Linked DNA regions of Pelodiscus sinensis. The protein of the gene in region 1 interacts with the protein of each later gene in a pairwise test. Links are inferred from orthologs where the notes say so. Each region holds a gene or a part of one and is shown in the gene's direction. Other genes may lie near its edges.

Evidence for each region.
Region 2: the proteins of SDCBP (region 1) and zinc finger and BTB domain-containing protein 8A interact in binary tests that used the Homo sapiens proteins (3 or more experiments, as listed by UniProt). The two-hybrid records come from large-scale screens. The link is inferred for Pelodiscus sinensis from reciprocal best matches to the Homo sapiens genes SDCBP and ZBTB8A.
Region 3: the proteins of SDCBP (region 1) and GPATCH11 interact in binary tests that used the Homo sapiens proteins (3 or more experiments, as listed by UniProt). The two-hybrid records come from large-scale screens. The link is inferred for Pelodiscus sinensis from reciprocal best matches to the Homo sapiens genes SDCBP and GPATCH11.
Region 4: the proteins of SDCBP (region 1) and uncharacterized protein LOC102460411 interact in binary tests that used the Homo sapiens proteins (3 or more experiments, as listed by UniProt). The two-hybrid records come from large-scale screens. The link is inferred for Pelodiscus sinensis from reciprocal best matches to the Homo sapiens genes SDCBP and SREK1IP1.

What each region holds. Positions count from the first base shown.
Region 1 is NC_134712.1:63,002,400-63,009,792, reverse strand, and holds the start of SDCBP (syntenin-1), read left to right. Parts: upstream 1-4,392; 5' UTR 4,393-4,652; intron 4,653-7,393. UniProt on the Homo sapiens protein: Multifunctional adapter protein involved in diverse array of functions including trafficking of transmembrane proteins, neuro and immunomodulation, exosome biogenesis, and tumorigenesis.
Region 2 is NC_134735.1:3,441,632-3,449,550, reverse strand, and holds the start of zinc finger and BTB domain-containing protein 8A, read left to right. Parts: upstream 1-4,915; 5' UTR 4,916-5,050; intron 5,051-6,042; 5' UTR 6,043-6,095; coding exon 6,096-7,035; intron 7,036-7,919. UniProt on the Homo sapiens protein: May be involved in transcriptional regulation.
Region 3 is NC_134713.1:137,256,878-137,264,776, forward strand, and holds the start of GPATCH11 (G patch domain-containing protein 11), read left to right. Parts: upstream 1-4,890; 5' UTR 4,891-5,027; exon of another isoform or gene 5,028-5,053; intron 5,054-6,791; 5' UTR 6,792-6,825; coding exon 6,826-6,872; intron 6,873-7,899. Other genes in the region: HEATR5B (HEAT repeat-containing protein 5B), read right to left, coding at 655-763, 2,294-2,505, 3,421-3,546.
Region 4 is NC_134716.1:91,047,251-91,054,210, forward strand, and holds the start of uncharacterized protein LOC102460411, read left to right. Parts: upstream 1-3,946; 5' UTR 3,947-4,108; coding exon 4,109-4,121; intron 4,122-6,960. Other genes in the region: spliceosome-associated protein CWC27 homolog, read right to left, coding at 3,676-3,717. UniProt on the Homo sapiens protein: Possible splicing regulator involved in the control of cellular survival.

The sequences.
Region 1 (7,393 bases):
CCCTCCCAGCTTGGTATCATCTGCAAACTTAATAATTGTACTGTACTCGCTATGCTATCATCTAAATCATTGATGAAGATATTGAACAGAACCGGTCCCAAAACAGACCCCCGTGGAGCCTTACTTGTTATGCCCTTTCATATGATTGTGAACCATTAATAACTACTCTCTGAGAATGGTTATCCAGCCAGTTATGCACCCACCTTATTGTAGCCCCATCTAGTTTGTATTTCCTTAGTTTATTGATCAGAAGATCATGCGAGACCGTGTCAAATGCTTTACTAAAGTCTAGGTATACTATGCCCACCGCTTCTCCCTTATCCACAAGACTTGTTATCCTATCAAAGAAAGCTATCAGATTGGTTTAACATGATTTGTTCTTTACAGTTACCTATCACCTGATTGTCTTCCAGTTGTTTGAAGATGAATTCCTTAATTACTTGCTTCATTGTCTTCCCTGGTACAGAAGTTAAGCTGACAGGTCTGTAGTTCCCTGGGTTGTTCTTATTTCCCTTTTTATAGATGGGCACTATATTTGCCCTTTTTCAGTCTTCTGGAAACTCTCCTGTCTTCCATGATTTTTCAAAGATGATAGCTAAAGGCTCAGATAACTCCTCTACCAGCTCCTTGAGAATTCTAAGAAGCATTTCAGCAGGCCCTGGTGACTTGAAGACATCTAATTTTTCTATGTACTTTTAACTTGTTCTTTTTTTATTTTAATTTCTAAACCTACCCTACTTCCACTAGCACTCACTGTGTGAGGCATCCAATCACCATCCATCTTCTTGACAAAAACCAAAACAAAAAAGGCATTAAGCATCTCTGCCATTTCCAAGTTTCTTGTTATTGTTTCTCCCTCTTCACTGAGCAATGGACCTACCCAGTCATTGGTCTTCCTCTTGCTTCTAATATTTTTGTAGAATGTCTACTTGTTACCCTTTATGTCTCTAGCTAGATTGAGCACATTTTGTGCCTTTGCCTTTCTAATCTTGCCCCTTCATACTTGCATCGTTTGCTTATATTCATCCTTTGTCATTTGTCCTAGTTTCCACTTTTTATATGACTCCTTTTTGATTTTTAGAACATGTAAGATCACCTGGTTAAGCCAAAGTGGTCTCTTACCATACTTTCTATCTTTCCCGCGCAGTGAAATAGTTTGCTTTTGGGCCGTTAATAATGTCTCTTTGAAAAACTGCCAACTCTCTTCAGTTGTTTTTCCTCTTAGTCTTGTTTCCCATAGGACCTTACCTACCAGCTCTCTGAGTTTACTAAAATCTGCCTTCCTGAAATCCATTGCCTCTTTTTTGCTGTTCTCCCTTCTACCATTCCTTGGAATCATTAATTCTATGATTTTATTGTCACTTTCACCCAAGCTGCCTTCAACTTTAAAATTTTCAACCAGTTCCTCCCTATTTGATAAAATCAAATCTAGAACAGCTTTCCCCCAGTAGCTTTTTCAACCTTCTTACCAAGAATTTATTGGATAATCTGTGCTGTGTTAGTTTTGCAACATATGTCTGGATAGTTGAGGACCCCCATCACCACCAAATCCTGTGCTTTGGATGATTTTGTTAGTTGTTTAAGAAAGGCCGTAACCACCTCCTCTGCCCGGGTAGGTGATCTCTAGTAGATCCTTAGTATGACACTAACCCTTTTTACTCCTTATAACCTAACCCAGAGACTCACCGGCTATGTCTAGACTGTCATGATTTTCCACAAATGTTTTTAATGGAAAAGTTTTCCGTTAAAAGCATTTGCGCAAAAGAGCGTCTAGATTGGCACGGACGCTTTTCCGCAAAAGCACTTTTTGCCAAAAAGCGTCTGTGCCAATCTAGACATGCTTTTGCGCAAAAAAGCCCCAATCGCCATTTTCGTGATCGGGGCTTTTTTGTGCAAAACAAATCTGAGCTGGACTTTTGCCCGAATGGGAGCAGCATAGTATTTTTGCAAGAAGCACTGAATTCAGACAGTAGGAAGTCAGTGTTCTTGCAGAAATTCAAGCGGCCAGTGTAGACAGTTGGCAAGTTTTTCCGCAAAAGCACCGGCTTTTGCGGAAAAACTTGCCAGTCTAGACACAGCCACCATGCCTGTCTTCTATGACCATCTCCACCTCAGTCCAACTGTGTACATTTTTAATATATAAGGCAACACCTCCTTTTTTTCCCGTGCCTATCCTTCCTGAGCAAGCTGTACCCTTCTATACCAGTATTCCAATTGTGTGTATTATCCCACCAAGTCTCTGTGATACCAACTATGTCTGTTTATTAGCACTTCAAGATCTTCCTGCTTATTTCCGATACTCCTTGCATGTGTATACAGGCATCTGAGATATTGATTTGATTGGCGGCCCCGGGCTGTGTGCCATTGGCGGTGGTTAGGCCGACTGGGCAGCGCATGCGCTGTGTGTCTGCCCACGTGCCCCGGGGGTGGGCCCGCGCATACGTCATGTGCCCGGAGGCTGGGCCGCATGTCCCGGGGATGGGCCCGCACATGTGCCATGCGTCCGAAGGTGGGGCCATGCATCCCAGGGGCAGCGCCAAGTGCATGGGACGCCAAAATGGCTCGCGCTGGCCACAGGTATCAGAGGATCGCAGTTCAAGTTGGCTGCAAATCACTGTTCATTGCCAATGTGAGCAGCAGGAAGCATTGCAGACCAGGACACCACTTCCCGCTGCTTGCATTGGCCATGAACGGCAATTCGCAGCCAACAAGAGCTGCAATCCTCCGATACCTGTGGAGGCTCAGGTAAACTTGGAGATGGGGGCCTGCTAGGGACTAACCCTGAGGACCGGATCCAGCCTATGGGCCAGAATTTGCCCACCCCTTGTCCAAGTCAATAATGAAAATACTGAATAGTGCTATCCATCAGTAAGGCTCTTGCTATAGTTCAAAGGCGGAGGTGCCCTTATCAACTAATCGAATAGTTGATGGAAATCCCCTCAACAATTTGATTAATTAAGTAATCTAATTTAACATCTCTAATTGGGCGTAGGCTAAAAAATGTGTCTTACCTTTGTTTTGTGAAGCATAATACAGTGTATTCAAAATGACACATAAATCATACAAATTTCAACCTACAATATAATGTATTTTATATAAGTGTGTAATAATACTGTACTGAATCGGTGTAGGTGGAAGGGATGGCCAGCACTGAGCTCATTACAATGTGGAAGCCTAATCAGTTGCAGCTTGCCTCCTTCTTGTGCTAAGCCTGGTTTACTTAACTGGTTCTGGACCTTTCATTCCATGTCCTAACTGTAGTCGTGTTAGTCTGGTGTAGCTGAAACAAAATACAGGACTATGTAGCACTTTAAAAACTAACAAGCTGGTTTATTAGATTATAAGCTTTCGTGGGCCAGACCCACTTCCTCAGATCAAATAGTGGAAGAAAATAGTCACAACCACTCAAAGGTAGAAAAGTAGTAAGAGAATCATTAGCTTTTATTATTATAACTCTGAATTAGATACTGAACAAAAAAGGTCCCACTCTCAAAGACCTTGCAATCTACATTCAAAGTGACAAGAGTGTTTCTGAGACTAAAAAATTAAATCCACAAATGATTTCATCCAATGATGATGCGGAGGTGAAGGCCAGATGCGCAACAGAAACTGTCTACAACACAGCAGCCAAAACAGCAAATGAAGTCCCTCCTCTAAGGAAGTGAAACCACAACACAACCGGAACACAGTAAGTGATGTAAACCATTTAACAGCGTATACTTAAAAAACCGATATGGACACAGAAACACTGACTCATGGCCACCCAGGCACTGAACGGAGAAGATAAAAGCAGGAATAAAGGAGGCAAATACATGATGGAAGACTGAAGACTCCGCCCATCTATTCCATCGAGAGTGAACAGGAATAGAAATAGGGCTAGGGTGGGTGCTACAGAGCATTCAGACCCTGACATGGGACAAGCTGTAGTTTTCGCTTTTGGCTCCTCACTTGAGATTATCCCATAATTCCGGCTATGGAGAAAGCCTCCCTCGCAGCAGTCACAACTGTCACACGCGTCCTCGTCAGCCCCGGGCCAAACCCGTACCTCAGGGCTACGAGAGTAGAAGGGCGCGACTCGGGGCAGTGCTCTGGCTGCGCTGTCTGAACCCCAGTTCGCTAACCCCGCGGGGGGGGGGGGGGAGGTACCGATGTACGCGCCTGGCTGGGTGGGGGCCGAGCGCCAGCACCGAAAACCGCACGTCCTGTAAGTCAGTGACAGAAACCACGTCAAGCCAAAGGCTACTAACGCACCTGGCAACCGGGGGCCCGGGCACAGCCTCCCCCCGCCCCCGCGCTGTGAGGGAAGTGGGGTCTCGCGCAGCCGAGCCAGCCCCTCAGGAGGCCAGTCACGGCGTGGGGGGGGAAGCAACGCAACCCTGCGGGCAGGGCAGGTCCCTTCTCTCAGCTCGCTTCCCCCCGCAGCAGACGCTCAGGGAGGGCGGGGCCGGACTGGGAACAGGAGCCTCTCCTAGCTGCCGAGAGGCTCCTTGCCCCCGCTCCTGCATAGTGTCACGGGACCGGCGCATGCGCACAGCCCGCGCTGAGCCGTTGTGTACCGCAGCCTCCGTCGTCGCTCCCTTCGCAGAGCCGCGTCCCCAGGAGCCGCCGATAGCGGTGTGAGACTAGCAGCTGCCGCCGCCTCGGCCCGGCCGGTGAGTGTCAGGGCGGGTAGCGCTCCCCCCCCCAGTTTCACTCGGGGCGGTATCACCCCCCGGCTCGCTCACCGCAGCCGCCCCGCCCGGAGCTGCCCTGTCTGGGCCCCTCCGGGTACGAGCGCGCCCGGCCCGGCCCGAACGGTACCTGCGGCTGCGCGGTGTGTGCATCAGCCAGGCACGGGGAGGGGGGCCAGGAGTAAAGGCCAGAGGGTCGCTGCGCGCACCCACCGGGACGGGCGAGGGAACGGGGCGTGTCCTTGCTCGTTACTGAAACTCCTGATCCTGCCCCTTGCAAGGCGGCCAGCCCCCGTCCTGGGCACCCTGGAGACACCGCGACGGGAAATCCTGCTAATCTCCCACGTTGCCCCCCCCCGCCCGAAATAAGACAGCTCTGGCTTGGGGGTCTGGGCCGATGGGCTCTCTGGTGATTTTTTTTTTCTTTTGTCTCTACTATGGTAACCTTTTATCTCCCCTTGAAACGCTCAGCGTCACTGGCATAGGTCTGGTATGCTTATCTAAGGGGGGGAGAGTCGTAGCAAGCAGTGGCACTGTACAAACTATTCAGTGTCCAGTTCAGTCTTTTGTGCTTAGTTAATGCTCTTAGTTTTTGCAAACTAAATCACTTTTACTTCTCCAATTAGTAACACAGATCTTTATCGCTAGGATGTTCACTGTTCAGACAAGTCCTGAGACTGAAACACTACTGTATCTTGGCTTCTTACTGTAGCAGTTGTTGAGTTAAACTATTTGGCTATGTCTACACATGGCTTCTTGGGTGAGTAATATGCAAATGAGGCGAATCGTGGAATATCGCCGAGCCTCATTTGCATATCTAATGAGCCACCATTTTTTCAGAAGAGGCTCTTGCGGAAGAAGGAGCGTCTAGGCTGCCCCTTCTTGTGCAAGAAAAACCCTCTTGCGCAATGCCATTACACCTATTACTTTTCAGGAAGAACGGCATTGCGCAAGAGGGTTTTTCTTGCACAAGAAGGGGCAGTGTAGACGGTCCTTCTTGCGCAAGAGCCTCTTCTGAAAAAAATGGTGGCTCATTAGGTATGCAAATGAGGCTCGGCGATATTCCATGCTTAGTCTCATTTGCATATTATTCGCACAAGAAGCCATGAGTGTAGACATAGCCTTTGAGATTTAGAGTTCTAATGTATGGATAAGTTGAACACTGTAGAACAGAGGGTGGGGAACCTAAGGCCTGGTTTCCCTCTCTCTCCCCCCTTTGCTCCCTCTGATAGAGACAGCAAAGGTGAGGGGAATTGACTAGTCCACTCCTATCTGATAAGCATAAGCATTTGATCTCTAGGGAATAGTAAACACCTTATGATGGCTTTGGTGGAATCAGTGAACTAGGTGATAAGTAGCTGGTTGTCCTTGGTCTATTGTTGGCAGTGGACAGATATTAGAGGTGAATCAATAAAATATATCCTCATAGTACTCTGCAGATCAGGTTTTGGGCTTGTTTTAATGAAAAGCTTTTTTAAAGTAGTCTAGCTCAGTTGCCATTTTCTTTCCTGTCTTTGAGTCACTTTCCCAATCCTCCTTTTTTAGTTTTTTCAACACTTACCAGCAGGCAAGATTCCATAAACAAAAATGGACTGAGTCATCTCTGTACAGAAATCAAGTCAAGCGATTATGTGGGAAGTCAGAATCCTTTTCTTGCTCAGTTTTTCTCTGATTTTAAGTAGCACTTATAAATAGGGTAGTGATTTCTGTCCATACTTTCATTTTAACTTATTAATCAACAAACTAGCTGCAAGCTATGAAGTCTGAGGTAAAAGTTGTCTGCTGTTACACAGTGTAGTGAATAGCTAATTGCAGTGTAGAGTTTTCTCAAGTTTTTTCATCTTGGTTGCTTTTAATATTTGTATAACTCTGACCATTTTATGACAAATTGCAGCTGCATACATGACTTTTCTTTAAATAAATGCAGGTTTCAGTCCGTTAGAATAACCAACATTACTAAGGATGGCATTTCTTTGTAGAATTTTCTTTAGAAGCTTGGACAGTGCCATTCAATGATTACTCATGTTGTGGTTGCAGTTAAATTATGTTTTAACTTATCGTTCAAATGTTTGTCAAAAGTCTGATTACATTATAAATAAGAGGCTCTCAAATCCTTTCATGCTCATTCTAGTAGCATGCCTCGCAGGCCATTCTCCCATCCCTTTGTGATTGCAGAGACTACTTCCCTTCCTATTTGTGATGAGATAACATTGCCCAAAAAAATTACAAGAAAGCCAATAGAGAATCTCAGCTTACTTGGTGCAAGCAGAAGTCTAAAGGATTCCCTGTATGAGTAACGATTTTACAGAATTATCGGTTAATCTTAAACAGCTATACACACTCCTCCCCCACTCGATGCATATGGGGATGCATAAAATCATACAGAAAAGAGGCATAATCATCAGGCAGGTGAAAGTGGCTGCCTGGGGGTACCCCCCCCCATCTGAGACTGCCCTATACCTAAGTCTCCTACCCCCAAGGTAGGGATGTGAACGACTAGTCGCAAATGCTTATCGGATAGTCACACACTAGTCGCTTCCCCCCTGCCTTGCAGAAAGAGGCAGCAAGGGGGTGGGGGAGAGGAAGAGCGGGCACTTTGAAGCAGCAGCACTGTGTGGAGCCCAGGGTCTGCCTCTTTGAAACGCCGTGTGCAGTCTTGGGCCAGCTGGAGACTCCACAGCTAGCCTCAGGCTGCATGTGGCGTTTCAAAGCGGCAGTGCCAT
Region 2 (7,919 bases), on another chromosome or scaffold:
AACATTATTCTCACCAATACTTTCTCTCTAAGAAACATTATACCATTTTAAAAAGCAATAGTTTTTGCACACATTCTAAGGGTTATTATTCCTGTTCATATTTTTTCATTGGATACATTTTTCATCCAGAACTATGGAATGAGAATTAAAAAATTCTTCCATTGTGAAGCAGAAAGAGAATTGTGTCACTCAAACTGCTCTGTAGCCAAGGGCACCATTAAACTTTTCTTATGTTCTGTATTTTGAAAGAATTGCAGTATAAGCATATGGCACTTATATTTTCTTAGTTTGGAAAAAATCTGTTACAACTCATCCATCAAATTTTATCTTTCAAATAAATGAATGTGTGTTCATGTGTGTCTTCCTTATTACAGCAATTTGTTTTGTATATTAGCTGCAGAACTTTTCTTTAGCAAACACATAACATTTAAAGAAAAAAAATACTGTATTTGAGTTCTTGGATTTTCAAGACAAATATATTTTATACATGTCTGAGATCTTTTAGCATTTTCTGGTATTCATTCTAGTTTTATATCTAAGTGAAACCAAGAAAGACACACTTTGTAAAATGTATGCTAATTATTAGCATCTTAATGAAGAGAAGGAGATTTCAATCTCCTTTTTCTAGAGCCAGTTTACAAGATAAGACTATTTGTCTGGTTTCTGAGCTACTGGTTTTGATGCAATAGTTCCACCCCTAGAAGAGACCTTCCTACCAATCATCCAACGCCAACTCCTGCAGACTCAAAAAGTGAGAAACATGAGACCTAGGACTAAATAAAGAAGCTATAGAAACTAAAACCTGCATGGTGCCCATTGAAAAAAATTATGTACAAAGAACAAATATCTTCTTTGCAAGAAGTGCACCAGTCCAGGTAATCATCAAGTGATCCCACCCCGTTACCATTCCCAGCCTCTGACAAACAGAGGCTAGAGACACCTTCCCTGCCCATCCTTGATAATAGCCATTGATGGACCTATCCTTCATGAATTTATCTAGGTTTTTTTTAACCCTGTTAAAGTCCTGGTCTTCACAACATCCTCTGGCAAGAAGTTCCACAGGTTGACTATGTTGCGTGAATAAATACTTCATAGAATCATAGAGCTGGAAGAGACCTCAGGAGGTCATCAAGTCCAGCCCCCTGTCCAAAGCAGGACTAATCCTAACTAAATCAACCCAGTCAGTGCTTTGTCAAGCCGAGACTTAAAAACCTCTAGGGATGGAGATTCCATCACCTCCCTAGATAACTCATTCCAGTACTTCACCACCCTCCTAATGAAATAGTTTTTCCTAATCTCCAACCTAGACCTCTCCCATTGTAACTTGAGACCATTGCTCCTTGTTCTGTCATCTGTCACTACTGTGAACAGCCTCTTTCCATCCTCTTTGGAACCTCCCTTCAGGAAACTGAAGGCTGCTCTCAAATCCCCCCTCACTCTTCTGCAGACTAAACAAACCCAAATCCCTCAGCCTAACCTCATAGGTCATATGCTCCAGCCCCCTAACCATTTTGGTTGCCCTCCGCTGGACCCTCTCCAATGCGTCCACATCCTTTCTATGGGGAGGAGGGGGGCAGAACTGGACACAATACTCCAGGTGTGGCCTCACCAGAGCTGAATAAAGGGGAATAATCACTTCTCTAGATCTGCTGACAATGCTGCTCCTAATGCACCCAATATGGCATTAGCCTTCTTGGCTACAAGGGCGCACTGCTGACTCATATCCAGCTTCTCATCCACTGTAATCCCCAGGTCCTTTTCTGCAGAACTGCTACTTAGCTATTCGGTCCCCAGCCTGTAACAATGCTGGGGATTCTTTCATCCCAAGTGCAGGACTCTACACTTGTCCTTGTTGAACCTCATGAGATTTCTTTTGGCCCAATCCTCTAATCTGTCTAGGTCACTCTGGACCCTATCCCTGCCCTCCAGCGTATCTATCTCTCCTGCTAGCTTAGTGTCAAGTGCAAACTTGCTGAGGGTGCAATCCATCCCCTCATCCCGGTCATTAATAAAAATGTTGAACAAAACTGGTCCTAGAACAGATCCTTGGGATACTCCGCTAGAAACTGACAGCCAACCTGACATCGACTTCATTTGTTTTAAACCTGCTATCTATTTATTTCATTTGGTGACAGCTAGTTCTTGTGTTATGGGAACAAGTAAATAACTTTTCCTTATTCGCTTTCTCTACATCCGCCATGATTTTATAGACCTCTATCATATCCCCCATTAGTCTCTTCTTTTCTAAGCTAAAAAGTCTCAATCTTTTTAATCTGTCTTCTCACACATGTAAAGTAACATTCCTGTAATTTTATCCAAAGTAAAACGATGGGATATTATCTTCCAGAACATCGATTTTGTTCTCTATTGTCACTGTTTCACAGGAATGTCTGGCTACTAGGACAAATGTAGGCTGTGGTTCTGAAAAACCTAAGCATATGCTTAACTTCAAGAACCTTTGTAGACCTGCTGAACTCATAGGAAGCAAGTCTTTGTAGGATCAGGTCTGTGGTTAGAAAATAAAAACAATATTTATTAATTCTGAATGAAAATGTTATAGCAATTATTCCTCAGATTATTGCCTAATAAAATAGATACACTGTTAATACATGTTGTATTTAAGAATGCATAAAGCTGCAAGTAATAAAAACATTTAACTTCAAAGGAGAAAATATTACATTCTATTACATACCAATCACATATCCATGCCATTGCCCTCTGTGAAACAAAGTTCCTAGATGAAATATTTCTCCAATGTAGTTTCTACTCATATGACAAATGCCATTCTCTTTTAGACCTAAATTTAACCATGTCCCACTCTAATCTGCCATTCATTCATTTGAATTATAAATTTAGAACGGCACACTACAGAATCAGGAAACTGAAGTTGTGGAAGACAGTAGCTTCCAGTCCGACTGTTTTGTGTCTATCTTTCTTTTTGGCACTTGCAGATTCATTATAGATTATTTCTGACCTTTCAGGGAAGATTCGTATTCTTCAGTCTTCACTCTGTTACAATCCCCCCACTCCTGCAATTTGAGTAAATGTGAGCTGTTTTGACTAAGGACTGCAGGATTTGCCCTATGTTACACAGTTAGCCGCTAATTCATTTTGAAGCAGTGCAAAAGCACAGAGAGAAATTTGTGATGATGATACTCATCTAAGTACTTGGTGTTAGTTTATTTACCACAAATGAAGAATTATGTCTCCTTTTGTCAACAGCTCTCCATTTACACATAAATACAGGGACTCACAAACCAGTACTCTTAAGGGCGGAGTTGGCAACTTCAGGTTGTGTTTTGTTAGATACAAACAGAATGTGCTCTGTAGAATTTGGTGTATAATTTTGTAAACAAGGATTACACCCCTATGTGCGGTATATATGTACAGTCTGTGTATCTGTTCTCTGACAAACCAAACAACATAAAATCTGGCCCTTTTTGCAGGCAGCTAATGCATTTATTTCATGTATAAAATCATAATTGTTTTATTGTATTGTATCATGGCAGGTAAGGAACTGGGGCATCCTGTCAACCCAGGGTGTGCTCAGTTAAGTGTGAAAAGGAAGGAAGGAAGCATCCTATACTCTTTTGATGTCTCAGAGGGGTAGCTGTATAATCTGTAACTTTAAAAACAAGGAGTAGCAGTAGAAGGGGACGTCTACGCAGCAGCGTTATTTCGGAATAACTGATGTGATTTCAAAATAACAAAATATGCGTCTACACCACAAGCCGTTATTTCAAAATAAGGCGAGCTGGAGGACTTCTTACTCTGCCTCCTGTAACCCTCATTTCAGGAGGAGTAAGGGAAATCAGAGGAAGAGTGTTCTTCCTTCGACATCCTGCTGTGGAGACAGAGCCAAAAGCCAAATTACATTATTTCAACTTCAGCTATGCAGTTGACATAACTGAAGCTGCATGGTTTAATTCGACTTTTGCCCTGCTGCGTAGACATACCCTTCAATACTAACAAAATATATATAGTATCGTGAGCTATATGAGGAAGTGGGTTTTGCCCATGAAAGCTCAGGATACTATACATATATTTTTGTTAGTCTCGAAGGTGCTACAGGAATACTCTTCAAGCATCCAGGAAGGATGTCAAGTGGAGCATGCAAGGGGTGATAAAGGACTGGAGCTCAAAATGCCACTGAAGAGCAAGTCCCCCATTGAAGTCTTCCATTGAAGAGCACAAGGTTAGCCAGGCTGGGTAGGAATGGTTCCCCTTACCTCTGTCAGGCTGGAAATGGGTGAGAGGAGAGGGCTCACTTGATGCTTACCTAAAAAACAACAACGAATGTTCCTATGGCGTGAGACTACCCAAAAAATATAGATAGTATCATGAACTTTGTACCCACGAAAGCTCATGATTCGATCTGTATTTCTGGTTAGTCGCTAAGGGGCTACAAGGCCATTGTTTTTTTAGTTACAGACTAACACAGCCACCCCTCTGAGAGTTTTGACAATCCTGTTCTGTCCGCTGCATGACACTGGCCACCCTCCACAGACAGGACAGGGTGCTACATGGACCTTTGGTCTGACCCAGAGTGGCCATTCAGTCAGGGGGAGAAAGAAATGGGACACCAGGGCCTACATGATACAATCTGAAGGGGTTGAGAACAACTTGAGGGCTTAGCCCGGCCTTGAAGGGAAAGTGGGTGAGAGTCAGGCCCGGGCTTGGCGTGAGACACAAGGATGTGGGGCATCGAAGGCCCCACTGTGCAGCAAGGTGCGGGAGGAAGCGGCTCGGGCTGGAGAGGGCTGCAGGGGAGGAGGGGGAGCAGAGGGAAATGCAGCCCCTACCGCCAGGCGCGCAGCGGAAGCTGCTGGGCTGCGCCTGCAATCGGTGCGTTGCCCCTTTAATTGTGTCCCCAGCCCTCGGGCGTCTCTGTCCGACGCCCACGTCAGCAAATCCCTTTTGTTTCTCTCCCGTTCGGGCTTCCGCGGGCTGGGGCGGCGGGACCCGCCAGCTGCATCCGAGCCACCGAGCGCCCCGCGCCGGGCTTTGGGGGATCCCGCACCCACCTCCCGCTCCGCCCGGAGCCCGGCCGGTAAGTGGCGGCCCCGCAGCCGGCGGGCCGGACTGGGCGTTGCGGGCTGGGAGCGGGCCCCGCAGCCAGCCGCTTGCACGGGGCGGTGGGGCGCTGCCGCCGGCTGCCTTGCGCGCAGGGGGCTGGGGCCCTGACGCGGCCACCCCCGGGGCCCCGCTGCTCTCGGGGGCCGCCTCTTCGCCCCGGAGCCAGCGGCGTCTGCAGAGACCTCGGCGGGCGCCATTTGCAGCCCGAGGCGCGGCTGCGAGGGGCCGGCAACAAAGGGCTGGCTGGGGAGCGGGGCGGCGGGGAGCCGGGCGAAGGGGGCCGGGGGGTGCGAGGCGGGCAGCAGCCGCGGCGGGGCTGCACAAAGGGGGAGAGAGGCGGGAGCCGGATGGACACACGCCAGCGGGTGCAGGCGCGCCCTGCAAGCGGGCACTGTCCGCCCGGCTGGTGTCCCCGGGCGCATGGCGCAGCGGCCGGCTGGTGTCCCCGGGCGCATGGCGCAGCGGCCGGCTGGTGTCCCCGGGCGCATGGCGCAGCGGCCGGCTGGGGGGCGCAGCTCCGCCGAGCCTCTCTCGGGCGCTGGTGGCCCGGCCGCTAGGGGAGCGGAGGAGGAAAGCGGCCGGCCCCGCCTGCCGCGGTCTCTCCCTCGCTAGGCGCTGCCCCCTGCGCTGGGCGGGCGTGTCTGGCGCCGTCGGGCGCCCCTGGCTCCCGCGGGGGGAAGGACCAATTCGGGCTGGACGCGCGCGCTGAGTGGCGGCGCCCTCCGCCAATGTCCCGGTGCGGGGAGCTGGTGTCCAGGGCGAGTTGTGCGCGGCTGCTTCTCTCCGCCGCCTCGGTCCCCTCTGCCCAGAGGATGCGGCGTGGAGTCAGGGCTGCGCCTCCCCTCTCTGGGCTCTTGTGGGTTTGAGAACGAATGGGCTCTTAAAAACACACCTGGTTTTGGAATTGGTGGCAGCCCCTCTGGTTTACATGCAGCCTGTCACGCTTGCAACTGTTCTTTATTGCAGAGCAAGGCTTCCTGCTTGCCCCCCTGCCCCCTCTTTTTTTTTTTTTTTTTGGAATGGAGATTTCTTCCCATCAGTTTCACCTCCTGCAGCAACTCAATGAGCAGCGCAAGCAAGACTTGTTCTGTGACTGCTGTATCCTGGTGGAGGGGAAGGTCTTCAAAGCCCATCGCAATGTGCTGTTTGCCACTAGTGGTTATTTCAAAATGCTCCTTTCCCAGAGCTCAAAGGATCCGAGTCAGCCAACCACTGCTACCTTCCAGGCCTTTTCTCCTGACACGTTTACAGTTATTCTGGATTTTGTGTATTCTGGCAAACTTTCCCTCACTGGCCACAATGTGATTGAGGTCATGTCGGCTGCCAGCTATCTTCAGATGACTGACGTTATTAGTGTGTGTAAGACGTTCATCAAGTCCTCCCTGGACATCAGTGAGAAGGAGAAGGATCGGTATTTCAGCCTGTCAGACAAAGATGTGAACTCCAATGGCGTGGAACGCTCCTGCTTGTATGGGGCTGACTGGAGAACGGAAAACAGCCCCCCTCATTCTCACTTAAACCCTGATCAAGGGACTTGCGTGATGAGTGGCAATGCTTGGAGCAATTTCAGCTACTATCCAGCTTCGCAGAGAAATGCGCAGCAGCAGTTGGCCAAACATGACCAAAGGCAGGAGTCCATCAAAAAGACTAGACATTTGGGATTGCAACAATCCTCCGACGTTCCCCATTATAAGTCAAGCAAGCTTGAAGACCGATCCGCAGACCCTCCTAGCCACCTTTCTCCATCTGAGGAGGAAGTCCAAATTGACACAGAAATTGACTCTGCCCATGCTGGGTACCAGTATGGTCAGGGGTCCGAGGTGATGCCAAGGAGCTTGGTTGTTACACAGCAAGAACACGAATCACCCCATTCTTCTAGCAAGTCAAAGTCCTCAAAAGCCGATGAGCAGTATGGCAACATACCCTCAATTTTAGGTGTAATGGGGAGCTGGGCTGAAGGTAAGAGTTGGTCATTTGTACCTCTCTCCTCATTTTCTTTCAAAGATGATGTTTGAATTTTTACTGGGTGAAAGTTGCAATGGAAAACATGTATCACCAGCTCTGTCGATGGGGAAAAATATCTGACTGTGTCCAAAAGGCAGGGGGAGGGAATATGTTCAGCTGCATTGCCTACAAATGCAGGATTGGAAAATAATATTCCCTAAGTGGTCCAATTCTGTAATGGCATGAACGGTACCTCTCTACTGTAAGTCACCAAGTTCTGAATTGGTTTCTCAAGCTTTGGAAGGATTCCAAAATGAGGTGAGTGTCATAGAATTAGAGCTCTCACTTTTTCCTCTCCCGCTTTAATTCCATTAACCCCTGTGCCGTTAGGTAGACACAGAAACACAAAATCATGCATTGAAGGTATTTAGCAAACCATTGGGACCCTGGGGTAGGTTCTCAGCAAGGGTAAATCTTTAGCTCTGTTGATTTGTACTCCTTTTTATTTCTGCAGTATCTTTTTGGAGATATGGTGTCCAGAACTGAATACACTATTCCAAGGGAGAGTGTACCAGCTGATGGTATTAGCTCTTCATAGTAGTTTTCAATCCTTTCCTTTTTACATTGTAATACTTGTGGTGTTTTACCATTGTTGCATGCTGAGCAGAAGTCTTTGCGGAGCTGTCCACAAGGATCCTCAGGATGTAGAGCAGTCAGGTGCATACATAATTCCATCGTATGAACTATGAGCTGTTTATGGAAAAGAAACTGAGTAGCTGTTTTTTAGCCAAAGTTCTCTCTTTAGTACAGAGAATATCCGAGACTACTCTTTCAAGTTGGAACCAAAGTGGGCTTTTTTTTTCCCCTATAAAAGGAATATAGGATCTTATTAAGTTCTT
Region 3 (7,899 bases), on another chromosome or scaffold:
GCCGGGCGCCAGGGGGCGGCCCCCCTCCATAGCCCCCGCATGCCCGGGGCCGGCGCCCCCCCCCCCCCCGCAAGCGCCGCGCGCCGGGGCCGGCGACCCCCCCCCCCCACCACAAGCGCCGCGCGCCCGGGGCCGGGGCTCCCCCACCCCCCCGCAAGCGCTGCGCGCCCGGGGCCGGGGCCGGCGCTCCCCCCCCTCCCCACAAGTGCCGCGCGCCTGGGGCCGGCGCTCCCCCTCCCCCCCGCAAGCGCCGCGCGCCATGTGCCCGGGGCCAGGCCCGCGGGCACCGTGTTGGGGACCACGGAACTATACAGATAGGACAGATGTTAAAATGCATGTAATTGAGTAACCATGTAACTGCTGAAAATTTCAGTGGTTACACACAGGGGGGCAGGCAGCTCCCCAGGAGCCAGTGCACATGGGAAGGCAGTTTTTAAGCCATCTCCCTACGCATACCAGGAGCCTGCATGTAACCATGAAGGTTAACCAATAAGCCCAGGCCCATCGGGTAACCATATACACTTTCATATCCCTAATAGATAGCATCTTTATGCCCAGTACAGTGAACAACTGTGAAGACATTTTAACTAAGAAGATCGTTGTGGCTTTGAAAAAGCCCTAAATGTGTAGCCCTACAATACCCTTGTAACTTACCTCTGCACTTTTCAGAGACTTTAAGAGATTATTAACTGTTTCTGGAAAAGAACTGCCCAGCATCCTGCCCATTTTTTCATAAAAAGCTCCAACACATGCAACTGCAGCCCTAAAAAGACAAGATGCCTCTTAGTAACCTTTTTGTTAAAGTTTAACATACAACTTAAATGGAAGCATCCAACTAGAAGTAACTATACATTTAAAAAATAAACTTCTTTCTGTTGTTAATTATCTTCTATTAACTATTCAGTCATTACATTGGTTGTTTATATGTAGCTCAACCTAAATCAGAGAAGAGGGGGCTCTACATGCAAACAGGGATGCTTCTGTGGGGGATTCGTTGGCAGGATTTTTTCCGTGGGTCCTAATGCTACATAGGTCCATATGTCCTAATCCTTGTAAAGTCAAGCATATAGTTAAATCTTTGAAGGATTAAGGCCTTAAATGGTGCAGAAATTGGAGTTCAGCCAGACAGCAGCAAAACTGAGTTAACAGGTGAGAAGTATGTTACTCACATTTTGTTACATATGCCCTGTCAATTGAGAAAAGATTTAAGTTGTTTTACAACATACAAGCTCAAAATGTGTAGAATGCTGCACAATGCAGTTAAATTTAGATATGCTAAAATCATTTGTTCAGTCAATTTTTTCACCCACATTTTTCCTTTCACTCTTTTTCAGGTACTAGAATAACTGGGTTGGTTAGAGTGAGGTTTTCTGTTTTGGGTTGGGTTTTGTTTTGTTTGTTTGGAAGGGTGGGAGCAAAAGAGGAGGGTTGAGGTAGCAATGATTTTAAGCAATTTTATATTTCCACTAGACATACAAATGGTTCCAGCACCAGCGTGACAGAAGCAGATCCTGTGTATACCAGGTCCATGAGAATGTGTAAACTGATATCACAAAGGAACAAGGCTTTCTTAGCTTAAAATTTTTAACAGACACAACTGAGAAGGCTCAGCAATAATTTTTCAATCACTGACAGCATCATCATCCAACCAGCTGTTCATTTCAAATTTATCAGAGCACATAACTCCTCATTAAGGACCCTTTGTATAAAAGGCTGAGAATCACTGTACTAGGATACCTGAAATGTGAGCTGATGTTAAACAAACACAGAGCACAGAGATTATTTATTCAAGAGATACATACTGTATGCTACTTTAGATAAATACAAACAGTGAACACTCTTTCTGAAGAGCACCTAACATTACTTAGCAAAAAAGATAAAGTCCATGTTAGTGGCTAGCCTGTAATTTCCTATGCATCATTTAATTTGGCAGTCAGAATGTGCCTATAAATAACTGAAAAATTCTAAGTAAAGAAATTTGTTCAACGTTTATTCCGTCAGGCAATAGCTGACCTCTGGATGACACACACATGTAAAAATTAGCCCAGATTAGGAAATATTTCCTTGCCTGGAAAAAACACTCTTCAAATCCAGACAGTAATATCAATTTTTGTTAGCTCTAATTCCTTTCCTCCATGCTTCCAATCTTGCTATTATGTCTCATTTATTTATATATTATATATGCATACATGTATATAACACACAGATACATACACATACAGATTAATGCAGATATATTAAATGCTCTATTAATAGCAAACATTCACAATTCTTAAGGCAACATTTTACTTACAATTTGGTTGGTAAATAAGCAGCAGTATCATCTTTACTCTTGATAATGTCATTACACTTATCAATTGTCTGAAAGACAGTAAATGTATCACCAATGCTATAGAGAGCAGCAAGATTTTTAGCTAGTAATTTCCGTGTGGGTGGCCCAGGGGAACTGCTAATGAGTCCAGTAAGTTGTTCCACAAGCTTCTTTTGTTTTTCCTTGACATCTATCTGTTAAAGGAAAATTTGTGTTGTTATAGTTTCTCCATTCAGGTGTAATTTCTACCTGTTTCCCACAACCTTCATGTAGATTTTTGTTTGTTTCAATCCAAAACAATCAATGCTATAGTATAGTGAACACTAGCACATACAAATGCTAAATGGAAAGATACAAGGTTGCTATTGTTGAGTTCTTACTGTTTTTATCATATATTATTTATTAACCATACAATATTACTTCACAAAGGATCCTTTAAGCTCCAAGGACTATCCATTGCCATTTTTCATCTCTTTCCCCACACCATTGAAAAGGCCCCACACTAGAAGAGAAGAGCTTGATTACCAAAGAACTATAGATCCTACTAAGTATTTTAGTTTGTAAGCCTATAATTTCAGACTCAGCACAGGTAACAATAAGCAAATAAGCACAGATATTTACAAAACTATAAGATAGACAGAAGTTTATATATACACTTATAGTTAGGACTCTATGTAAATCACAATTTAAAAATTTTTTTTTAGAAAAATTCAGGACAATGCAAATGACAAAATACTGAATTTCGTGGAGTTTTCATGGAATTAGTTTACAAATAGCATTAAGTCAAATTTCAAGGACAGAATGAATTTCACAAATAATGTTAGTCAATATCAAGGAGTCATTCCATCTTTGAAACTGACTACGGTACTTTATTATTTAAAAGACTTAGTTGTAGACTTTTCTTAAGATCACAGTCAGAGACATTTTCATGATTTCTGTACATTCCATGAAATTGTGATTTACGCAGGGGCGTACCTATAGTCACTCTGTGGTTTGGCTCCCAGATACTAGTGCCATTGTGATGGATATTCATTTTGAACCTTTCCTGTGCATGACATTAACCTGAAATTGTTTTAAAAAGCAAAATAGAGAAGGAGAAATAAAGTTACCTTGTTGGCAGCTACAATCACTTTATCCAGAAACCGCAACCACTCAAAAATAAAGACCGGCCTCTTTGCTTCTGTTATTTGAGCCAAAGCCTCTTCATTTAGCAACAGACTGTGAGCTAGCTCCATCCTTAATATTTAAACTCTGATTTCACTGCAGAATCCAATATTGTCTCTAAAATAAACATAAAATGTAAAGCAGTAAAATGCTTTTGCTATAATATTTTTATGTAAGGCAAATTAGTTTTCAGAGCAGAACTGCATTTTAAGTATAGTCTACAGTATCAGATCCCAATTCTACATACACTTACACTTGTTTAATTAAGCAGTGTCATAGAAATCAATGTGAACATTTATATAGCCTGCAGCAGTGAGCCTCTAAGCCTGGGTTAACAGAATTGGGCTTGCAGGGCTCATGCTAGGCTTTCAAACTAGTGGAAGTGAGCATTGACAGCTCAACAGCATATAACAGATGGTACACAGAGCAGGAACTGACTGCAGAAAGCCTTGAAAATGAAGATAAACAGTCTGTGTTTGATGTGCTAGAGAGGGGAAAGCCAGTGGAGGAATGCAAAGAGGAGTGACATTGTCAAAGCAACAGGCTAAAAAAATGATCTTTGCAGTTGCATTCTGAATGGATATGCATCATTTGAGAGCAGTGTATGGTTGAAAGAAGGAGCTGTCTGGTAGACAGAACAGTAGAGAGGAGAAAAGGACAGTCACAATTTCTATTCCCAGTTCTGCCACTAACTTGTTGAGTGACACTAGAACAAGTTGCTTCAGGTTCCCCATCTGTAAAATAAGTATAAAATACTTCTTTACAGGGGTGACAGGACAATAAACTCATTTACATGTGCGAAGCTCTCAGATACCTTAGAGACAGGGGCAATAGAAATACCCAGGTATGCAGGAATCAATATGATTGATGATTGTTCGCCTCAACGCGGTGCTCCGCACCAGTCACTATATGAAGAGCTGCCCCTTCAGGCCCTGCATGCGCCCCCTCAGCCAACAAGCCAGCTGTCGGGTACAGAGGGGTAGGATGCCGCAGCCTGCATCCGCACAGGGAGGTACAAGCCCTGGAAGCCACAAATCGCTAGGATACGCCACAGGCCACCCAACCCCGCTGCCGAGCCAGGCTCCCTACCCGTTATCCCTGCACTACCAGGTGCCGGTGTAACGAGTCTGCGCCAGCCCCCCACCCTCACACGCCACCTCCGCAGGGCCGCCCCACCACTGGCCCCCGCCACCTCCGCGGCGCCCAGGGCGGGTGAGTTTCCCCGCCGGCCGCTGCTAGAGCCCGGCCCCGGCTCCAGGCGAGCCCCGCACGCAGGCGCGCCCAGCATCGGCCAGGCCCGCCTCAGGCTCTGCGCGGCCCGCGACCCCCTTTCCCAGCAGCGCCTGCCTCCCCCGGGCCGCTGCCGCCACCTCCAAGGCCGCTCCTCTGCCCCGGTGCCCGCCAGTCGCACTCACCCGCCCGCGGCGGCCCCACAACGGCCCGGCGGACCCCGGACAGCAGCGCACCGGGCCGCCAGCGACAGGAAGGGCCGGGTCGGGCGCAGGCGCAGCCGCCGCCTGGGAGCCAGGAAGCGACTGAGCAGAGTGCGCAGGTCGGAGCTGGAGGGAGAGCGGCGGGGTGAGGCCCCGGCTCGGAGGGGCGCTGGGAGGCTTGGGGGGTGCATTGGGGGTACGAAAGGAGGGGCCCAAGAAGAGGGGTACTAAGGGAGGGATGGTTGGGAGGGACGGAGGATGCCGGGAGATGGGGGGTCGGGGATGCAGGAAGGCTTTGGGGGTGCAATAGGAGGGATGGCTGAGGGTGCTGGCAGGTTTGGGGATAGGGTGGCTGGGGGTGCTGGCAGGTTTGGGGATAGGGTAACTGGGGATGCTGGCAGGTTTGGGGATAGGGTAACTGGGGATGCTGGCAGGTTTTGAGGTGGGGTGGCGGGAGGGGATGGCTGAGGATGCCGGGAGGTGGAGGGGACTAGTTGTGCAGGCAGAAATTGGAGGTTGTACACTCTTAGACATGGAACAAAAGCAGCAGTCACTGACCATCCGATTGGCTTTCTTTGTATCTGATTTTCGGTCTGTGGGCCAGGGCAGCTCTTAATACGTTTATAAAGCAGAGGCATAGGGCCTGGGATCAGAGGTAAGCCGGGACAGCTGATTCCCGGCTCCCCCAGTTCCCCTGCTAGCCTCTGCTTCCCGTTCATCCTCCCCTCCCCTCCCCCCCCCCCCCGGCGGTGCTGGGGGGAACCAGCTTTTAAGCCAACTCCCCCCAGCACTAGTTCCTGCTCCCCCACCCTTGCTGTCTCTTTCTAATAGAGCCAGCAAGGGTTGGTGGGGAGGGAAGTGACTAGTTGAGTCATTACTCAACAGCCCGATCGGCATGTGCTTATTGGGTGGTCGACTAGTCACTTACATCCCTAATCTGGGGTCCATAGTAAGGATGTTAAGGACTAGCTGACTATCCATTAATAAAAAGTCGGTCAACTAGTTGATTCTCCTCCCCCCCTTGCTGCCTCTATCAATTCTCCCCCCCCCCCCCCCCAGCAGACCAGGGAGACACGGAGCAAAGCAGCGGAGGACCTGGGTGGGGGGACCGCCAGACGCGCCGCGGTCCCCCCACCCAGGTCCTCCGCGGCTTTGTTTCGTGTCTCCCTGGTCTGCTGGGTTCTCCCCCCAGCAGACCAGGGAGACACGGAGCGAAGCGGTGGAGCACGCGGGCAGCGGGACAGCCCAGACGCGCCGCAGCTGTCCCGCGGCCGGCATCCTCTGAGGCTTTGCTCCCCGTCTCCCTGCAGACCAGGGAGCCTCCAGCAGACCAGGGAGATGCGGAGCGGCTTTTCTCGCCCCGGAGAACGCGGACGGCAGGACTGCGGCGCATCTGGGCGTCCCGCCACTCCCATCCTCCCGGTGTGAGAAAAGCCCCGTTCGTAACTGAGGATCCGACATAAGTGGGATCCGCGTAACTCGTGGACTGCCTGTATAGACAAATGCATTATCAACACAACTGAGCTAATAGTTATGATTTTGGATGTGTTTGTTTTTTAAGATAAGGGTATAAAGTGTAACCCACCTAAGGCAACAGTAATAACCAAGGTGAGGCTGCCATAGAACTGTGCTGAGCAAGAAAAGAAATCAAAGATGATAATTGAAACATTAATTTCTACTGCTGGTAATTCTCAAAATAAAAAATGATACTACTGTCAGTCCCTCAGTCTGGTAGTGTTGGGGAGGGGAGGCGGGAGTGGGCACTCATCCAGTACTAAATAGAGCAAGCCTGAACCAGTGAGTTTCTCAGCCCAAATACAGTCATCTTATTTCAATTCATTTTAAAAAGATAAAATGTGTAAAACTATTTTCATTCATTATAGGTAAGAGGCTCTGAATAGGGTACATATATTAAACATGGAAGAAGAAGATGACTATATGTCTGAGTCTTTTACTAATGTTCAGTAAGTAGCTTGCCTAAGTAGATCATATACATCTGCGTCTAATAACAATACTGATTGTTTTGGAGATTTACTCTTGACATTTTCACTAGTGTTTATGAAGAGCCTGTTATCCCTGAATTAATCATTTTGTCAATTTCCAGGTACTGCATTAAGGGCTAAATCCTCTTTTCATTACTCACCCACGTCACAGGGAGATTTCAATGGGATGAGGAAGAGGTATTTTGGCCAAAATGAAAATTTAGGTCTAATTTTTCAAAAGTAGATGGTGATATTGGAATCCTCAATTTTTGAGTCCCCAGTTTGTCATCTTAAAGGGCCTTGTTTTCAGAGGCTGGTTGCTCAGTACTTTCTGAAATCAGCAGAACCCTTTGGTTAAGCACCAAAAATTCAGGCATCTCATATCATTAATTACTTTAATAAATTTGGCTTCCACCTCTCTTTGTACTTAATTTTTGCATTTATCATGCCTCTGCTCCCAAATATAGATTATTTATAGGAGGCTACAGTGAAAAGTTTAAGTACAATTGTATTCCTTGCATGTCCTCACCATTTCTGCCCATGATGGAAATGAGGCAAGATTGGCCACTAATGAAAATCTTTTGGCAACTGCCATTTCCTAGTATTAACAGATTAATCTGAGATCTTAAACAAGAAATAATCCATCTGAGATGTATAGTAGTCCAGCAGGCAGGATTCTTTCCTGAAGAGCTAACCTTTTAAAGTAGTTAGTTATAATATAGGCAAGCACATTTCTGTAAGCTGCAATCAAATCCTTGCATTGAACTGTATGAGATCCCCTTTGATATGTCAGTTGTACTGCAGAAGAGGCAAGAATGGAAAAAGAAATTTTGTAGGGATCAGGGAACATCCCGATGGAAACGCCATTTGAATTGCATATTAAAAATGTACACATTCTATTGTCAGTTATATTACAGGATACATAATACAGTTAATGTCATTCTTAAAAGCCATTTAAAGGTTAAAGTGAAGTATGTGTGTGTTTGCAAGATGTTGCAAAGCTACAAAA
Region 4 (6,960 bases), on another chromosome or scaffold:
GGGGTGGGCAATAATTTTTGACCAGGGGCCACTTCAGAAATTTTTGAAGTGCTCCCAGGCCACCCAGGAAGGGGCAGGGCATCAGATAGAAGGGATGGGGCCAGGATACTTCCATGCTTCTGCACCCACAAACCCTCATTGGTCTGGGGGTAGGGGAGTGCATAAAGTCTTTGTCCCCCCCCAAAGAGAATCATCAGCTGTTCTGAAAAGCTGGCGGTTCCCTCTAAGTATTCGTGCCCCTGGCAGTGGGAGGAGACTTTGTATATCCCTCTTGTTGTCCCCAGATCAATCAGGGCCTGGGGAAGGGGAGCATGTGAAGTCTCTCACTCCCAGACCCCACCCCACAAGGGAGCACCCTGCTTAGAGTCAACAGTCAGCTGAGTAGCAGCTGGCAATTGACTTTAAGTGCTGAGGCCCTTGCAGGGCAGAAGGAGACTTCATGTGCTCTCCCGGCTCCCAAGCCCCAATTGGCCTGGGGATGGGGAGAGTGCACGAAGTCTCCTTGCAGAATGGGAGCAGGGTGTGGCACTTAGAAGCACCACGCCCCTCCCAGGGCGGTAGGAGACTTTGCTCACTCCCTTCTCCCTGCCCCCAGGCCAATAAAGCTTGGGGGTGGGGGAGCACACAGTGTCTCCTCCCACACTGCCAGAAACATCCAGCGCTTCTAAGTGCCACACACTCCTTGCAGGGCGGGGCAAAGTGGGAGGAGACTTCATGTGCTTCCCCCACATCCAGGCCCTAACTGACCTGTGGGTAGGGGAAGTGGCAGGGCTTCCATGGGCCAGATCAACTTGGCTCTTTTGTCCATTCCTGCTATAGTGTGTCCATTGGGGCAGCCATAATACCAAGGAAGTGGCCAGCAGGGCTGAGGCTCTGACATTTTGCCTGCCACCAGAAAAGGTAAGCAAGGCCCTCCTGCCAGGGAGACAGCCCCTGCCACCCTCACTCCCTCACCACAGATGCGGTAAGGGGGAGAGAAAGAGAGACCCTGCTGCACCCCCTGCTTCAGGAGGGATCAGGGGAAAGGGAGATAGCCCCCCAAATCCCGGGAAGGGCCAGGAGGGGAAGAAGAGAGCCCCCTGCCCTGGGTGGAACCAGGACGGGAGAGAGAGAGTCCCCCCATGACCTGGGCAGGGTCATAGGGGAAGAAAAGAGCCCCTGCCATCCCAGAAGGATCTAGGGGGAGGAAGACACCCTCCACTCCTGGCTGGGCCAGGAGGGAAGGAGCGAGCCCCTGCTTGCCCTGGGGACAAGCCAGCAGAGGGAGTTTGTAGTACCCGGTGCCCTGGGCTATCCACGAGGAGAAACCAGCAGCCACTCTGTCCTGAGCCCCCCTGTCCTGAGCCTGCCTCATCCACCCAATGCTCACTCTCACACACTCCCATGCCTCCAGCCTCATGCCCTGAGCTCCCCACATCCCCAAGGCCCTACCCTGACTCCTGGACCCCCACACTCCATGAGCCCTCTGCAATGAAGCACCTGGGCAATGCCAGATAAGTCTTCTAGTAGTAAAGAAAACAAAAAGCCTCCTCAATTCCTTCTTACCATCAGTGAGAGATGAAACTCCCCTATTCTCTTGTTTGCAAGTGAAGCAGCCTATTTACTCTTTCGTAGTCCTTTACAGTTGTTAACGTCAGTGAGTTAATAGTAGTTACAGTCCTTAGTTGTTTAGAGAGATTAAAATTCAGTTGAGAGATCTTCTCCTTCCCATGTACCTTTGGCACCAGGGCATGCCAAGGTCTCCAGGCTTCAAAGCCTCTGGATCCTGTGGTAAGTATATGCTCAGAAGCAACCCCCACACTTCATATATGAAGTGTTTAGGGCAGTGGTCACCAACCAGTAGATTGTATTATTTGTCGAGCCCTGGACATAAGCATCATGCATTCCCCTTGACCCACCCCACACTGATGTCAGTAAAGTTCCCCTAGTGATCTGCTTGCATAATCACAAAAAAGTAGTCCTTTCTGTTGCTGTACTCTATAGCAAGGTAAGCTGGTATCAAAATGGGGATTTGTCTAATGTATATCACAGCCTTGGAATCCCATTGCTACAAATCCATGTACTATGTCTTCCATATTACCAAGAGTTCCAAATTATTCTAAATTGCATACTGGGAACTTTACTCTTATCTCCCATAAATCACGGTGTGCATCATTTCTATCCCACCATAGGAGAAAACTTCCCTAAAGGTATTGTGCTAGACCAGGGTGGGCAATGAGTGGCTCACAGGCCAGACGCTGTTCACCACGGCAGGCCACTGATGCTTTATTTACCTGTGCAGCTGCAGGTACAGATGTTTGCAGCACTCATTGGCCACAAATTGCTGATCCTGGCCAACAGGAGCTGCAGGAAGTAGCGTGGACTGCGACACCACTTCTCGCAGCACCCATTGGTCAGGAACACTGATCGGGGGCCAATGGGAGCTGCAAATGGCCGTACCTGTGGACATGCAGGTAAATAAAGGGCTGGCGGCTTGCCCTGGGCTAACTGTGGTGAATTGCCACTGTCTTATTGCTCACCCTTTCACTATTCAGCGCTGGTTTGCAGGCTGGAATACCTACATGCAAGTCACCACACTTTGCATTGACCCAACTACTCTGCATGCATATGTTCAGTGCCAAGGCAAGCAATCAAGAATGCAAGCACAGGACTATATGCTCACACAGGCAATACGCTAAGCTAACTTGCACCTGCCAACAACTGTAACATAGTTGTAGGAGTGCTGGAACTACGGATGTGAATGGTTAACAGAGCAGCGTGCTGTGGGCAAGGGCGCTCCAGTCCAGCTGGAGCAACCTACACCCGCAGCCAGCCCAGCCTAACTGCTCCAATGTGTCCATGGTGAATGGGGCAGGAGGTGGCTCCAATACATCTGGTCTGGAGCTGCTCCCCCCACACCCGCCCCCATTTATGCGGTTGACTGGTTAAACATAATATTTATCTAGCTAGCTGACTGAATGGTATTTTACATTCCTAGATGGAACCACTTTATAGTGTGGGTGGCGATGATGGAAACCATGTACTTGTTGGTTATGGCTGCTTCAAGCCAGGAGGTGCAGCAGCTCTAGGGATGCAATAGTGTAGCCAATTAACCAATTAACTGGTAAGTAAAAGCTTACTGGTTAATGCTATATATTACACGCATTTCCCTCCTCCCCTGCCAGTAAATTTTTTAGCAGGCTGGCCAGAATCCTAGCTCACACCAAGTCCATGACCTACCCCCGCTGCAGCTCTGCATTTAAAGTGTATTAAGAGCTAGGCAGGCAGGCAAGCAAGCAGCCAAGCTCAGTTCTGCTTTGCACCAGGTCTGGGAACTCTGACCCCACCTAGACCAGAGGCAGCAGCCCAGGGCAGGCAGCTGGTCTCCGAGGGCAGCTGGTTTTTAACCCGGATTCCCTCATGGACCAGCTCCCACCTGGCACCCTGTGCTGCGGCCGCCTCTGTAGCCGAGGTAACGGCTCCTTGGGAGCGGGGCTGGAGTGCGCTGGCTGCCGGCCCCACCCCGGGGGACTATCAAATAGCCAGTAACAATAGGAATTGATGCGGTTTCTTGACTATTCAATTAACTGATACTGAACAGTCCCGCGGGCCCTTCTCGGCGCTGCCCGTCGGGCTCCCGCTCCCTTCGCCTTCCCCAGGGGCCTGGCGGCGGCTTCTGCTCCCCCCCCCCCGCACCTTGCCGTTGGTCGGAGGCTCCTGGATGTAGATGTTGCTCATGCTGGTGGCGGGGCGGGCACGGACCCGGCGACTCCGATTTCGCTCCTGGTCTGGCGCTGCTGAAACCCCGACTAGCTCTGCGAACCTCCCGCCATCTTGGACCCCGGGATTTGGCGCCGCGGCGCGGGGGGAGGCAGCAGGAGCGAGAGGCCAAACGCGGAGCCGCAGCACCCGCTCTGGGAAACGCCTCCGTCGTGCGCCCTAGGCCTGAGTTCCCCCAGCGACCCGCCTCCTCCATCCCCCGCACTGACACCGTGGTGTGATCCCGCCTCCCCTCCCCGCCTAATGGTACGGCCCGGTGTGCGCTGCCCAAAGCCCTCCGGCCGGGACGCTCGGGTGTCGGGCCTGCGTCCGGCTCTGCCCGGGGAGAGCGTGCGGGGCTCGTGGCTTCATGGCGCTGCCAGGTGAGGGCTCTGGCCCGGCGTGGGGGCAGCGGGCGGCCGAGGAGACCCTTGAGACGCTGGCGCGGGAGGCCGGGACGGGAGCCTGGGTGGTGAGGGCGTCCCATCGTCTCCGCTCGCCGAAACCTCCGGTGGCTCTTGGGGGGCCGGACCCGTCCTGGGAGGGTGCCCGTAGGTGAGACGAGCTCGGGGCAAAGGTCCAGGGGGAGACAACGCAGTGAAGCTTTGAAAAGAGCCGGGCAGCAAGTGGGGGCCGGTATCAGCCTAGAAAGGAAGTGGCCACGAGCCGAGTGAAGGAAGAAACCCAGGTTTCGCGGAGGGTCGGGTGGGGGGGGGGGGATAGTTATATACTGATAGCTAAGGCCAGAAGGGTTCATCATGATCAAGTCCTCTGGCATGACCTTTGCAGGCTACAGAATCCACCCACGCCTGTACGTTATTGAAGTCCTTGAATCATAATGTAAAGATGTCACATAACACTTGATTAGCCTCATTTACCCAAGTATCCTCTTTCTTAAGTTGTCCTTGGCTGTGTCTACACTGGGCCACTTATTCCGGAAAATCAGCTGCTTTTCTGGAATAAGCTGCGAGCTGTCTACACTGGCCCTTGAATTTCCGGAAAAGCAACGATGCTCTACTGTACAAAATCAGCCGCTATTCCGGAAAAACTATTCTGCTCCCGCTCGGGCATAAGTCCTTATTCTGGAACACTGTTCCGGAAAAGGGCCAGTGTAGACAGCCCAGTAGTCTTTTCCGGAAAAAAGCCCGGATTGCAAAAATGGCGATCGGAGCTCTTTTCCGGAAAAGCGCGTCTACATTGGCCACAGACGCTTTTCCGGAAAAAGGGCTTTTCCGGAAAAGCAGCCTGCCAATGTAGATGCTCCTTTTCCGGAAAAACTGAAAACGGAATAGTATTCCGTTTTAAGCATTTCTGGAAATTCATGCCAGTGTAGACACAGCCCTTGTGTATATCCCCCTGCCTTGGTAAATACCACTCCAATTTATTTGATGATGAGGATTTTACCTGTGGACGCTTATGTCCTAATAAATCTGTTAGGCTATTTCTACACTGCAGACTTCTTGTGTAAGAACTATTTTGTGCAAGAGTTCTTGCACGAGAGTGCGCCCACACTGCCTTGTGCTTTTGCACAAGAGCATCCATGGCAGTGTGGATGCTCTTTTGCACGAGAAAGCTCTGATGGCCATTTTAGCCATAGGGGTTTATTGTGCAAGAAACCCCTGTTGCCTGACCACACTGCCTTCTTGTACAAGAGCTCTTGCGTAATAGGGATTATTCCTTGTAGGGAGAGGAATAACTCTTGCACAAGAAGTTCTCTTTTCTGATGTTTTACTGTAAATTTACTTGTGCAAGAACACACGTGCAGTGTAGACATTTCACAAGTTTTTGTGCAAGAACAGCTGTTCTTGTGCAAAGAGTCTGCAGGGTAGATGTAGCCCCCATCTCTAAGGTGCCATAGGACTCATTGTTTTTGCAAACACAGACTAACATGGCTGCCCTTCTGAAAGAATTCATCAGTACATTAATATAACTCAACAAGTGATCTCTGTCCCATGCTGTCTGGTATGGAGGAGAGCTGCTTTCTGACCACAAATGCAGCAATCAGACCACTGAAACTTTTCTGCAGTTACAGAGTTACCCAATTACCTGCTTTTTAATATTCCTACTTGCTACTAGCAATTGTAAATGGGTCATACCCAATCTCTGCAGGGGGTGGATGGACAACAACAGAGCAGGGCAGTTTCCCCTGCTTTAAAAAGACAAAGTAAAGCTTCTCTCAGGAACTTACTCAGCAGCAGCCAACACACACACTCTGTCACTGTCACACACTCTCAGTCTGTGTCACAGTCTCTCTTTCTCTAGCCACGAACCCTTCCACCTGAAGCCCTGCCCCTTTTGGGATGCCTGAAACCAACCTGTGGCCAAGTACAAAAAGTACTTGGCACTAATTGTTTTAACATAGAATATCAGGATTATGGTGATAGGATACATGGTAGAAAAGTGACTTTAGGGATGTTGTAACACAGTTGTATTCTGTTTCCCTTTGCATTATGGCTCAATGCTTTTTCTTACCAAAATAAGTTAAAAAGTGAGAGAGGGACATGTTTTGGGCAGTGTTCCCTCTAAGCTGTGCAGGCAGCACAGTTTCACAGGTGATTAATCAGCCCCACCGAGCCAGGCTCAGGGCTCTGTGCATGGAGCTGACTGATTAATCATCACCTGTGAAGTTGTGCTGCCTGTGCATCTTAGAGGGAACACTGGTTGTGGGAACAGGTGATGCTCCTGATAGTAAGATGGCCTGTGAACAAGCACTAGATATGATTGTTATTCACCTTGGGGGAAATGATTTGGGGAACCTGTAAAGGGGTAGGCTCATTGTTCAGATCTAAGAGGGACTTGGGGCAGATCCTAGAACTTTCCCAGGAGTAAAAATTAATTGGTTGGACATGTTGTGACACAGGGTTTGGCAGGAAGCTGTGAAGCCTCCATGGGTTGACAAGAGTAGGAAGTATGAGAACAGAGAGGGGGCCAAAATCATAGATGGCATAAGGGAGTTGATGATTTCTCATCCTGCCATACTATATTGGACAATATAGGGTTCACCTGCAGATTTAGAAGTTGATATGTTTTTGGCTGATATTGAAGGCATCAATAGATTTCTGGGAACTGGGCTAGGTGTGAGGGAAGACAGTCAAGCTAATTGCTGGAGCCTCTGTCACAGATGTTCAGTACAGGTACTCCAATAGGGAATTGATAAAGTGATCCAATAAAATAAATTTAAACACAATTTAAAGAAGGTATTTAAAGGAATGGAGATGGGTG